Pelodiscus sinensis: one gene and its partners. The protein of the gene in region 1 purifies or fractionates together with the protein of each later gene. This does not show direct contact. Links are inferred from orthologs where the notes say so. Each region holds a gene or a part of one and is shown on either strand. Other genes may lie near its edges.

Region 1 (3,748 bases):
GCTGCTCTGATGTTTAATACATTTTGGGGGTTTTTTTTTTTGGTTTTTTGTTTTTTTTACTTCTAGGCAGAGAAGTGCTTTGAATCAGACAAATTAAACTTGTTGCAATGTGGCTCCAGGCATACCTTGCTCAGGAGGGGAGAAGCCAAAATGGTGGCTGAAATCAATCCTCATAGATTCTCTTAGAGTTTGAAAAGTTCTATTATTAGGCCTATGAGTTTGATTGAGCCAGCATTAATATCATGTTGGGTGTCAGAATATGGCAGGAGATTAATTATATTGTTCTGTTTTAAAGCAAATCCATAGTGAACATGGCAGCAGTGGGAAAAAATCAACAAGCAACATAAGATATGTACATGCTGTGACAAGTCCTGAAAAGGGATTGCACAATCTTTCATCACATAAAATCCCATAAGAAAGAAATGCAGTACATATATCAAATATTTGCTAACTGAGCAGGGCTCAGGCAAAGGGTGTGAGCTCTGAAAATAAATCAGCTGGCTTCTTGCCACAGTCAACTCATGGATAAAAGTAGGTCAGGACAACTGGGCGTACCCTTTAAAATTTAGACCATAGAAATGTTGGTCATACATAGTAATGCAGGCAGCTGTTAGCAAGGGGAAGATCCTGAAATCCTTACTGGTGAGGCTATCATATAATTAAATACTTACTAAAGTTTCCAACAAGAAAACGATTCAGACATGTTGCTGACCTGCAGCTCAGAGGGTATCCGTTCCTTATTAAGTACTAAAAGACTTACCCAGCATTGCCCGGGTTCTTCAGGGAGGGGTGCTGGCATTGTGGGGGTGCAAGAGTCAGGGCAGAGCCTTGGAGATGTAGGGGCAGGCAAGGCAAGAGGGTGGGGATGTATATGGTGGGGTAAGAGATGCAGAGAGGTTCAGGGCAGAGGGTCCCATCCAGTGGTGCTTTCTCTCCCTCCCCCAGCTGTTAGGGCCTTTTCGTCTCTCTCCTCCCTCCATCCCCCCAGCTGTCTCAGCCAGTAGGGCCTTCTTTCCACCCCACCCCCCTGCTCCTCCCAGCCATCACGGACCTCCCTCGGCCACATGCTGTGGGCAAGGGCTGGGGGAGAGGAGAAGGATTCGGGGCAGGGAGACTACTTACCTGATCTGGTCACAAGCAAGGCGGTGGAGCCCCAGCCCTTCTGGCCACTCTCTTGGTGGTGCATCTGCCTCCCAAGTGGTCTCTTTGCAGCATTGCTCTCCCCTGCAGGCTCACTGCCCCCAGTGGCCATTCTGAGTATCATGTCCGTCCTCGGTGCCCCTCCCTTTCCATTCCCAGCACTTCCCATTTTCTTGGCATAAGTAAACCCTGACTGTGCTTTAAGTTAGGATAAGAGGAAGCTGCGCTCCAAATTTGGTGCTCCTAGCTCTTACTGTTTAGAACAGGGTTTCTTAAACTGTGTTCCGTGGCACACCGGTGTGCTGCGAGGCAGTCGGAGGTGTCCTGCAGAGAACAGAATTTAAAATAGCCATCCTTAAAGGGGCAGATCACCTTTTTTTTTCCTCAACAAAAAATCCTTGGTGTTCCTCATAAAAAAAATTGTTTGGTCCTTGGTCTTAAAAGGTTTAAGAAACACTGATTTAGAAGGAGTTCTTGAACAGACAGACACACACACACAGACAAGCTCACAGACAGGCAGACACACAAATCTAAAATATATGTAGAGATGTAAGTATTTTACATGCAGTTCTAATCACTGGTATTTGGGGAAATAGATTTGTTGCTAGCCATTTATTACTTAGGCAGCTTCTTAGATCAAGCACTAAGTCTTGATACTAAAGTTGCCTTCAGCTTTACAAATTGTATATTTCTTCTAAACTCCTTTCACTGAACTTGATATAAAACTTTCCTAGGACGTTATGACCTCTGGACTAATTCACACACTCACCCTGACTAGACCAACAGGCATTTGCAAAGATGCTACTTCCCAATTACTAGACAGGACATTTCAGCCCTGAAAATGCAGAGCTGTGAACAAAGTAATTTCATTTTTCCCCTTCCCTTTGTAAGATACTAGTACTCTCTCTGAGAGAGAGAGAGAGAGAGAGAGAGAGAGGAGAGATTGAATGATCATGGAAAGAATAAGACAACTGTACTTTTACCAGCAGCTAAAGGAAATGTATTTTAACTCAGCTGTTAGAGAACTGTGTTTCTGGAGCTCATAAAATGTCTAGCTCTAAGTCCCTAGATCTGTGTGATTTATGTAGCAATTCTGTGTGTCATCAGCTATACACAAATGTATTAAAATACTTCTCCTTTCTTCCATCTCTCCTCCTGCAACCTATGTACAATTTCCAGTAGATTCTGCAGTGTGATATTAAGAACACTGGAGAACAAAATAAACTAACTAATTAATTAACTACAAGCAAACAGCACAGAACAGTGGCCAATCTGATGGGTCACCAGTCACATCTGTGATCTATAGAAGAAAAGTTCTTCATGACACTTTTATGACGGTTTTATCCTACACTGAAGAGAACAAACCTGTAATGATTAAAATTATGAAAAGAATGAGAGACACCAGTGCTTGTGATTTAAATGACTAAAATATAACAGAGAAATAAATAAGACAATCTTGTTTTATTTACATGTAAGTTAAATACAGGTCGATTTAGGTTTAGTGATTGAGCGATGCACTGTTACCAAATGACTTTCTCTCTCTCTCTTTACCACAAACATCAACACAAAGAAAATACTTGGAAACCATTCCCTTTTCATTGAAAAGGTGCAGAATAACATTTAAAGTGTCTCAGCTGTTGCTGAGCAGTTTGAAAAAGCCAGTCTGTGTTTGTTGGCACCCTCAGGGTCCCGCTAGATCAGTACCCTCTTACATAATGATAACATTTGCTTACCTGTGCCTGCTTTTGAGAAAACAATCCACAGAATGAGCCTTAGCAGCAGACAAAAGATTTGCTACACAAACACACTGATGTTTTGGCCACTTACTCTGTTTTCAATAAGCCTAAAATATTAAGATGCTGCATTTGTTTGCTGTTAATGTTTGTCTTCTACTAGGCTTATAGAAAGTCCATTTTTAATCTTGTCTTTAGTTTTTGAACAATTTTTGTGATTATTTTTGAGGTTGTCAGAGAGGGAAAAAAAACAGTATAAGATCAGCCTTCAGCATCCAAAATCTTATCCCTCCAAAGTGGGTTATAATTAGCTTTTATTAAGTATAATATTCAAACTGTAATTTATTTCGCACCTATGCTAAGATAGGGTAATGAAATCTAATTTTTCAGTGCATCTGGTGATCACCACAGAGGCCAGGAAGGATTTCATCCTATTCAAAGTATTGCCCAACTGTCTTGGTGATTATCAGTGTGCGGTTTTTCTCCACCTTCCTGTAAACCAGTGTTTCTCAAACTGTGGTCTACGGAGGAGACATCTCCAGGGGCTCCATGAGGCTGACAAACTAGAAACATCAATAGGTACAACACAGACAATCAGTGGATCGCTGGGGCTCCACATACATTTTTATTCATGTAAAGGTCTCCGGAGCTCAAAAAGTTTGAGAACCGCTGCTGTAAACCATCATGTACTCTCCATTGCCTGAAGCAGCATGTTTAATAGTTCAATGAGATTTAGTTTGGCAAATCCTCATAGTATGATTGTGTATCATGCTCCTGCACACTAGGATGTGGAAAGTGGGGGAGAGAAAAGCCGCTACATCACAAAAAACTCCCAGGTAAATAGCAAAACAGGGAGATATCAAACTTTTAAAACA
Region 2 (3,748 bases), on another chromosome or scaffold:
TAGTCGACTACCTGATAAATTTAGATTTATCAGGTAGTTGAGTCACTACTACTCACGTTCCCCCACCTTTGCTGCCTCTGTATCAGAGGGAGGGGAGGGAAGGAAGTAGGACCCAGTGCTGGGGGGAACCCCAGCTGTCCCAGGGCCACCCCAGTTCATGTCATCCTGCTGTGGCTCTGCGGCAGGCTCTTACTACATTGAAGATGCAGAACTGCAGTGGTCCTGGAGCTGGCACAAGTTGGGACTGCTTGGTCCCGGCTCATACTGCCCCCCGGGAGCAATTTACATTTAAACTACAGAGCCACAGAGGCAGTAGCGAGCACTCCCCTCCCCCCCAATTGACCAATCCAGTAGTCAGGGGAATAACTTAATTAACTGCCACTTAACATCTCTAATACTCACAGGGAAAAATAGTTAGCCAATGCAAAGCAATGATAAACTTGACCTGTTGCATGTAATTTTAGGTCATTCCCAGGAACAATTATTTTTGCTCCTGAGAACCAATAGGTTCTCTTTGTATCCTCTTATTAAGCAGAGTCCTATTTTTCATAGTTATAGGGTAGCAAAGCCTACTATAGATTTGCCCACTGACATAAAATTAGGGTTTGGGGGCACAAATTGCAATTAAAAAAACCTGAGTTTTTAACCTCTTGCTTTTAAAAAAAAAAAAAAAAATTAAAAAGATCTTGCTGTTTTTCCTGCATCTGCACACAAACCATAGCTACGAACAGGCATTCATAGCAAAAGAGTGTTAACTCTGAAGTGTATGGACATATCTACACTACAAACTTAAATCAACCTACAACCCCCAGAGTGACCACACTAGCCTCCTGTCAGTGGTAAGTGTCCTCACCAAGAGCACTCCCACTGACTAAAGAGACTCCACAGAGCTCCCCTACTGGGTACCCAGCTGCCCCTGGACTTCTTGCCTCCCCAATTCCCAGCTGGTGATGTGGGTGGGGTGAGGAGAGAGCTACCTGGGACTTCATCTCTGGCAGAGAAATCCGAACCTAGAGTCCAGTTGGCTGCTTTGCTCCTGGTGAGGAGTCAAGCGTCCTGTAGGAAGCCAGGAGCAGTCTGTGCAGCCAGGCTTGCTGCACAGACCAAGCAGCTAGAACTCTGGGGGGAGAGGGCAGGGCAGGGCAGGGCAGAGAAGCAAGAAACCCAGCAGGAGCTTAGGTGGCAGCCCAGTTTGGAATGAAGACCTAGGGGTGAGAGTGACAAGACTACATGTCACCCTCCCTACACTGACATAAGCTTTGCAACTCTCATGGAGGTCAAAGCGGTGGTGTACATTTGTATTGGTGGGACCAAGGCTGCACTTAAATAGTTAGATTGACATAAACTGCCTTATGTTGCCCTGTGTAGTGTAGATCGGGGTTCATAATTGTAAATCTTGTTTCTCTGCTGATCACCAAAATAGAGCAATTCAAGAAGTGTACTTGGTCCACTGCTGTTGGACAGTGACAAACGAGGAGAGGTCAAGTTGCTGTCTGTTTAGAAGCTAGAAAGTTGAAGTCCCCTGCCCCCAACAATTTCAAGTAAACATTAACCTCATCTAAAATGGGGAAGCACAATTTCATCCTTTCGTGAGCACTCTACATGAGTGCCAAAGCCCAAACTGTTCCGTTTTCCTGTGTGCCAAAAGCCCCTTGATTTGGTAGTTAATCTCCTTTAGCTACTACAATTCAGAGGCGCCAATACAAAAAATTGCAGCACATGGGCATCTGAAAGCTGGAAGAACAGATTGAATTCAATAGAAAAATAAGTAGTTTGACGAGCACATTTAATTTACAATTACTTGAATGGGGCACAGATCTTCAAATTTGCTGTAGAAGCCTTGCCACGGAATTTTAGGTACCTATTTTGCAAAACTATAAATGGCAGCGCACACCAGACAACATTTCTGAAATACAATAGCAGAGCAGAGCCTGGGTTTGGGGGGGGGGGGGGGGGGAAGCAGCCCTTACCACCAGGGTGGCAACAGCGCCAGGGGGTCACCCCCATCAATACAGGGCGGGGGCAGGAGAGTACAGGGCAGTGAGGAAGGGGACAAGATACAGAGACGATGCAGTGGACAGAGGAAAGGTGCCAGCGTGGTGATGGAGCAGGAAACGCGCAGAGGTGCGTAGGTGGGGGGGGGGTCAGCCCCCCCGATTACAACTATCCCCCACAGGGGCAGGGCAGCGACCCCTCCCCTCCGAGGCAGGACTAGGGCTGGCAGGAGTCTCTCCCAGGAGCACACACGGTACGTGGCGGCGGTGGCAGACGACGGGGAGGGGGAGCGTACGGGAGGAGTTGCGGCCGGCGGGGTTCAGGCGCTGGGGGGCGGCGGGCGCGTGGGGGGTTGCGGGCCAGGGGGCACTGGGGGAGGGCCGCACGCCGGGAGGGGCAGCGAGCGCTGGGCGGGAAGCGGGGAGGGGGCGCGAAAGGGAACAGCGAGCTCAGGCTGCAGGAGGCGCCCCCCGAGAGGCGGCCTAGCCCGCTCCCAGGAGACCCTGGGCGGCGGCGGCAGCTGCTGCTCGTCGCCCCTCTCTGCTCTGGGACCCCGGGGAGGGGGATCCGCCGCCATTTTGAATCCGCTCCCCACCGCGGGCTCTTCCCCGCCCAGCCGCTTCCAGACCGGTGCCCCTGTTTCGCTGCCGCGGACTAAGAGACGATCCCCGGGGGAAGGGGGGGGCAGCTAATCCCGGGACCGCGGAGCGCTTCGGCCCGACCCCACTCACCTCCTCGGCGCCTCCCGACCCGCGCCCGGCTCCCGCCTCACCGACTGCTCCGCGCCTGAGAGAAGGGGCGGGACCAAGCACCCCCGCCAGCCCCGCCTCCTCCCCGCCCGCCATCTTATTGTCAAAGCCCACAAAGAAACGGTCGTTTGCCCCCTCCCTACCCGGCCTGCCATTGGGCGATGCTTCCACCATGTAGCCACGCCCACAGCGAAATCTTGGTCGTCATTGGCAGTCTCCTGACCGTAAAGCACCACCCACACGGCATCCACCCTTCCATTGGATGACGGGTTACCATGGTGCTCAGCCCCACCCCACCCCCCTCCAACGTACGACTGGTTGAGGGGTTACCATAGAGCCCATACCCGCCCCTTAGCTGTCATTGGCTGAGGAAAAGAGCGAGGTGGAGTTTAACGTTCAAATAGCTGCCAATGGGCTAGGCGGGCCCCCTGCCTCTGCCTATTGACGTGACCAGGATCCTGGCCACACTGGCTCCAAAGCCAGCACGAGTGGGGCCTGCCCGAGAGCAGCCCGGGCTCTCTCCTCCCTGCTGCCCCGTGGTGGCAAAGGAGCCCCTCCCCCCTTACCCAGGACCCTGCCCTACTGCTGCATGGGCTCCTCCTGCACATCATGGCTGGGCACCATGTGCCCTCAGCTCCCAGCTTGAAATCTAGTGCATGGCACATGCTTGGCTTTTCCCTTAACAGCAACACCTCTGCTGCCTGCAGGCAGAACCCCAAGGGACCATCCCCACAGCCTTAGGGGGGTCAGACTATGGCTCAGCCTGCTCAGTTTCCTGTTCTGGCAGTAGCTGTTGCTAAATGCTTCAGAGGGAATGAATAGACCAGGGCAATTATTGAGTGATCCTTCTACACTGCAGGCGTCTTGCCCCAGAACTCTTTTGCAAAAGTCTGCCGCAAGAGCACATCCGCAGTGATGTGCTTTTGCACCAAGAGCGTTTTGTGGATGTTCTCTTACCCAAGAAAGCTCTGATGGCCATTTTAGCCATAGGGGTTTCTTGCACA
Region 3 (3,748 bases), on another chromosome or scaffold:
AATACACATTTGGGAGAGTCAGTGAGAATCTCACATCACAGTGCAAGGGGACACCGGGTTACAGAGCAGACAGCACCCCCACTACGCCACAAGAGGCAATGGGTGTTTTTGCACTGTAAGTCCTGGCTATTTGATCTGAGGAAGTGGGTCTGGCCCACGAAAGCTCATCATCTAATAAACCATCTTGTTCGTCTTTAAAGTGCTACATCGTCCTGCATTTTTCTTCAGCTACACCAGACTAACACGGCTACATTTCTATTACTATCCTGACTCCACTGTGTGTGGAGAGAAGTTGGGCAGGATAGTGAGTCAGTGGTACCCAGCACAGCTCCCAAAGGTAATACACATCTGTGCTCAATGTTGTGCATAGCCGGATAGCCCTAGCGCTATCTTACGCAGCTGGGGCATATGGCTCGTTGTGAAACTACAACTCCCATGAAACACCAGTGAAAGGAAGCCCCAGGTTAGGCCTACAACTCCCATCGTGCCTCAGGAAAAAAACTACGGAGCGTGACAAAACGTAAAACTACAATTCCCAGCATGCCCAGGAGTAAAACCGCAACTCCCATGATGCCCAGTGTGAGTGAGCCTCCCCCCGCCCCCCCCCGGGGAAGACTACAATTCCCAGCATGCCTCGGCGGAAAGGACTATGACTCCCGGGTCTTCTGGGGAAAGCCAGCTCTCTATAGGGCTCTGCTCTCCTCCCCGCTCGCCTCTGTGGCCGAAACCCGAACGTGACGGACACAGCGCGGAGCGGGTTCGCTTTCCTTGTCCAGCCAACTGCTGTTCGCTTGTGCGCATGCGCCTCACTTTCCTCACCACGACCGCCCGGCTCTCTGCATATGTGGGCTTTACCTCTGCCGAAGCGCTGCGCAGGCGCAGTTTGGGAGCGCATGCGCAGTGTTCCCTGTCCACCCCCTTCCTAACGGTGGTAGTTCCCAGTTGAAGCCGCACGCGCTGAGGCGGTACGTCTCAACCGAGCTTGTGCAGAAGCAGGGGGCGAGGCCTATTGGCGGAATTCCGCCTCGCTATTGGGTGCCGGGCGTTTGGCTCGGGCGGCGATTGGCCGGCCGCGGCGACGGGCGGGGTAGGGTGTCGAGGCGCGGTGAAGCGGCAGTGCTGGTAGGAGCGTGTCTGTCTCCAGAAGGTTCCGCGCCGGCTTCTTAGCTCCCAGACGCCGCCGCCAGGATGATGAGCCAACGCCCCGTGATCGTGCTCAGTGAGTGAGGGGGGGGCAGCGCGCACCTTGCTGGGGGCCCCCTAGTGTAGCTCCCGCCCCTCCCCCATTCGTGGGGGGGGGGGGGGCAGAAAACCTTCCCTCAACCCCCCCCCCGGAAACCTCCTCCCCCGCTCTCTGCACCTCCCCCCACCCCCTAACCCATGGGTCGTGTCGGCTGGGTCTCCTGTAACCCCTCCCCCACTGCGCTATAGGTCCCTGCGCCCCTCCCCTGCTCCACGCCCCTCCCCCACTCTCTTCCTCATTAGTGTCCCCCCCCCCCCCCCCGTGAGATTTTTTTCGTACCCCTGCTGTAGGCTCCACAGCCCCCCTTGGGCTCCCCTCGGCTCCCCCTCCCCCATTTTATCCATCCCCACTAAGGATGCAAGGTTGTTAAATGTTTAACTGGTTAAACGGGGGATGGGTGGGGTTGCTCCAGCACCCAACTATTAACCATTAACATCCCTAATCCCCACCATCCCCCTTGTTTCCTGAGTCATCCTCTCCATATAGCTCTCTACTCCCCCCCCCCCCCCCATCACCTGGTACCGAGAGTCCTCTGGTCCTTCTGCCTTTTTTTTCAGGTTCTTCCCTGATATTGGTGCCGCCCGCTAAGATCCACTCTTCTTGGGTTCTGCTAGAGTTCTTTCCATTTGCATGTCTGTCGTTTCTCCAGTATATTGTGTAAACACCCACATTTCTGCTCCAGCCTTGGGGGTCATCCCCTATAACTTCCACCCATTTAGGTTCCCCTTCTTGTTTTCCAGCCTTTCTCATCTTATGTGCTATTCCTCTATTTTTCTAATTTTTTTCATCTGTGTGGAATAAATTTTGAGTACTAAAGCATGTCCTTATGTGCACCACCAAAAGAAACACATTAAGTTACTGTGCAACAATGTTATAGTAGATTATCCAGAATATTGACTCATTTGAACTTTCAATCTTATTGGTTCTATGTGGGTAAAATTAAGAAAGCAAGTTGGTATAATTTTATTCTGGTGTCTGTACCTCTTGGATACTCTTATTTAAATGGCTGGATTCATTTAGAATTGGCCGTAATTCACGTACACATAAATAGAATTGCATCCTTGATATGTTGTCAGTATTGTTTCCTCAACACTAGATTTCCCATTAAGAGTTCACAAGATCAGATTTCAGTTGTATTCATGCTGTTGCTATTTTTTGTTTTCTGCATGTCATAGGTCAGAATACAAAACGTGAGTCTGGAAGGAAGGTCCAGCTTGGAAACGTCAATGCTGCCAAGGTACTGTTTTATGTTATGAAGTATGTTAGCAAACTAGTAATCAAAAGGTGACAAACACAGAATCATGAACTTGAAACATTTTCAGCAGCTCCCTTGACATCACTATTATTCACTTGGTATTTTTTTACAAATTTCACATGAAGAAATGCTGATCACTCTATTGCTGTACTTAAACAACAGCTGCAATTGAATATAACTTTTTGTTTTAGTGACTACAAAAAAAGAAAAGAAAAATTAAACGTTAATCCAAAACTTTACTTATGTCTGAACCTTGACATCTTGTTTAGCAAGTAGCTTGGAGTAATGTCTTGAGCAGATGATTACGTCCAAATACAGTAAAACCTGTGCTATCCAGCACTTAACTAGCCGGAAAACTTTAGAAACCTCCACATTTCTGAGCCAGGGAACAACTTGTTAAAAGCAAAAAAAAAAAAAAAAAAGAAACTGGTGCTTTAAGCTGGGCCGCTCCTCAGACACTCCCCCTGCCAGACGTGCATGCAGCATGTACCTGGAGGAGGAACGAATGGCTGCTCTGACCGCCTAATACCGGCCGCATCCTGGCAGCCCCACGGCTTGTGGCTGCCTGCCCTCCACCCTCTCCTCCTGGCAGCCCGGCATCACCTGCAGCTCACCCCCGCCAATTCCACTCCCCCCCCTCCAATCAGGCTGCATCCTTCCTCCCCCTTCCCCCCCCTCCCCCCCCCGCCAGTGGCTCGTGGCCCTCCTCTCCCTAGCAGGCCACATCCCGGCCCCCGCACCACCTAATCCCCGGATGTACCGGATAACATAGGTTTTACTGTGTTGTGTCTGATGTCCGAGTAGAAGTGACTGTTATCTTAGCCTTCATGTTATATTGTCATGCCTGGTTAAATCATACTCTTGCTGCATCCAAAGAACTCTAAAATAATTGTCATTTGTGTTAATTACAAGGTCTGCATTTTCTGTGTAGTTAGACGAGATTATTCAAGTCCATTTGGAATTTTGAAGCACTAATGTGTAAATGAAACCCTCAGTGCTGATCCCAGCATATTAAAAGGAGACAGCTTAGAATCAGACTGGGTAGCCTCATATTTAAGAGTGTAAAGCAATAATTGAAACATTAGACTAGGTCTGAATCAGTTAAATTCTTCAGTGTTATTTAAATGAAGATTAAAAGCAGAAACTACACACCTAATTCTTTCAACAGGCACAGTGTGCATAGGAATTTGTAACCTGTTACATGACATTTAGGCCAGTGGTCTCAAACCTTTTTACACTCAAGATAATTT

The links.
Region 2: the proteins of PPP2R2C (region 1) and CDCA4 purify together in Homo sapiens (affinity purification with mass spectrometry; 4 studies listed by BioGRID and IntAct, counting the BioPlex papers as one, with this or other methods). This does not show direct contact. The link is inferred for Pelodiscus sinensis from reciprocal best matches to the Homo sapiens genes PPP2R2C and CDCA4.
Region 3: the proteins of PPP2R2C (region 1) and CCT3 purify together in Homo sapiens (affinity purification with mass spectrometry; 4 studies listed by BioGRID and IntAct, counting the BioPlex papers as one, with this or other methods). This does not show direct contact. The link is inferred for Pelodiscus sinensis from reciprocal best matches to the Homo sapiens genes PPP2R2C and CCT3.

The regions. Positions count from the first base shown.
Region 1 is NC_134715.1:112,516,193-112,519,940, forward strand, and holds the start of PPP2R2C (protein phosphatase 2, regulatory subunit B, gamma), read right to left. Parts: upstream 2,161-3,748; 5' UTR 1,310-2,160; coding exon 1,123-1,309; intron 1-1,122. UniProt on the Homo sapiens protein: The B regulatory subunit might modulate substrate selectivity and catalytic activity, and might also direct the localization of the catalytic enzyme to a particular subcellular compartment.
Region 2 is NC_134714.1:17,438,574-17,442,321, reverse strand, and holds the start of CDCA4 (cell division cycle-associated protein 4), read right to left. Parts: upstream 2,860-3,748; 5' UTR 2,727-2,859; intron 2,249-2,726; exon of another isoform or gene 2,087-2,248; intron 1-2,086. UniProt on the Homo sapiens protein: May participate in the regulation of cell proliferation through the E2F/RB pathway. May be involved in molecular regulation of hematopoietic stem cells and progenitor cell lineage commitment and differentiation.
Region 3 is NC_134734.1:16,142,191-16,145,938, forward strand, and holds the start of CCT3 (T-complex protein 1 subunit gamma), read left to right. Parts: upstream 1-1,045; 5' UTR 1,046-1,188; coding exon 1,189-1,219; intron 1,220-2,418; coding exon 2,419-2,480; intron 2,481-3,748. Other genes in the region: TSACC (TSSK6-activating co-chaperone protein), read right to left, coding at 634-895. UniProt on the Homo sapiens protein: Component of the chaperonin-containing T-complex (TRiC), a molecular chaperone complex that assists the folding of actin, tubulin and other proteins upon ATP hydrolysis.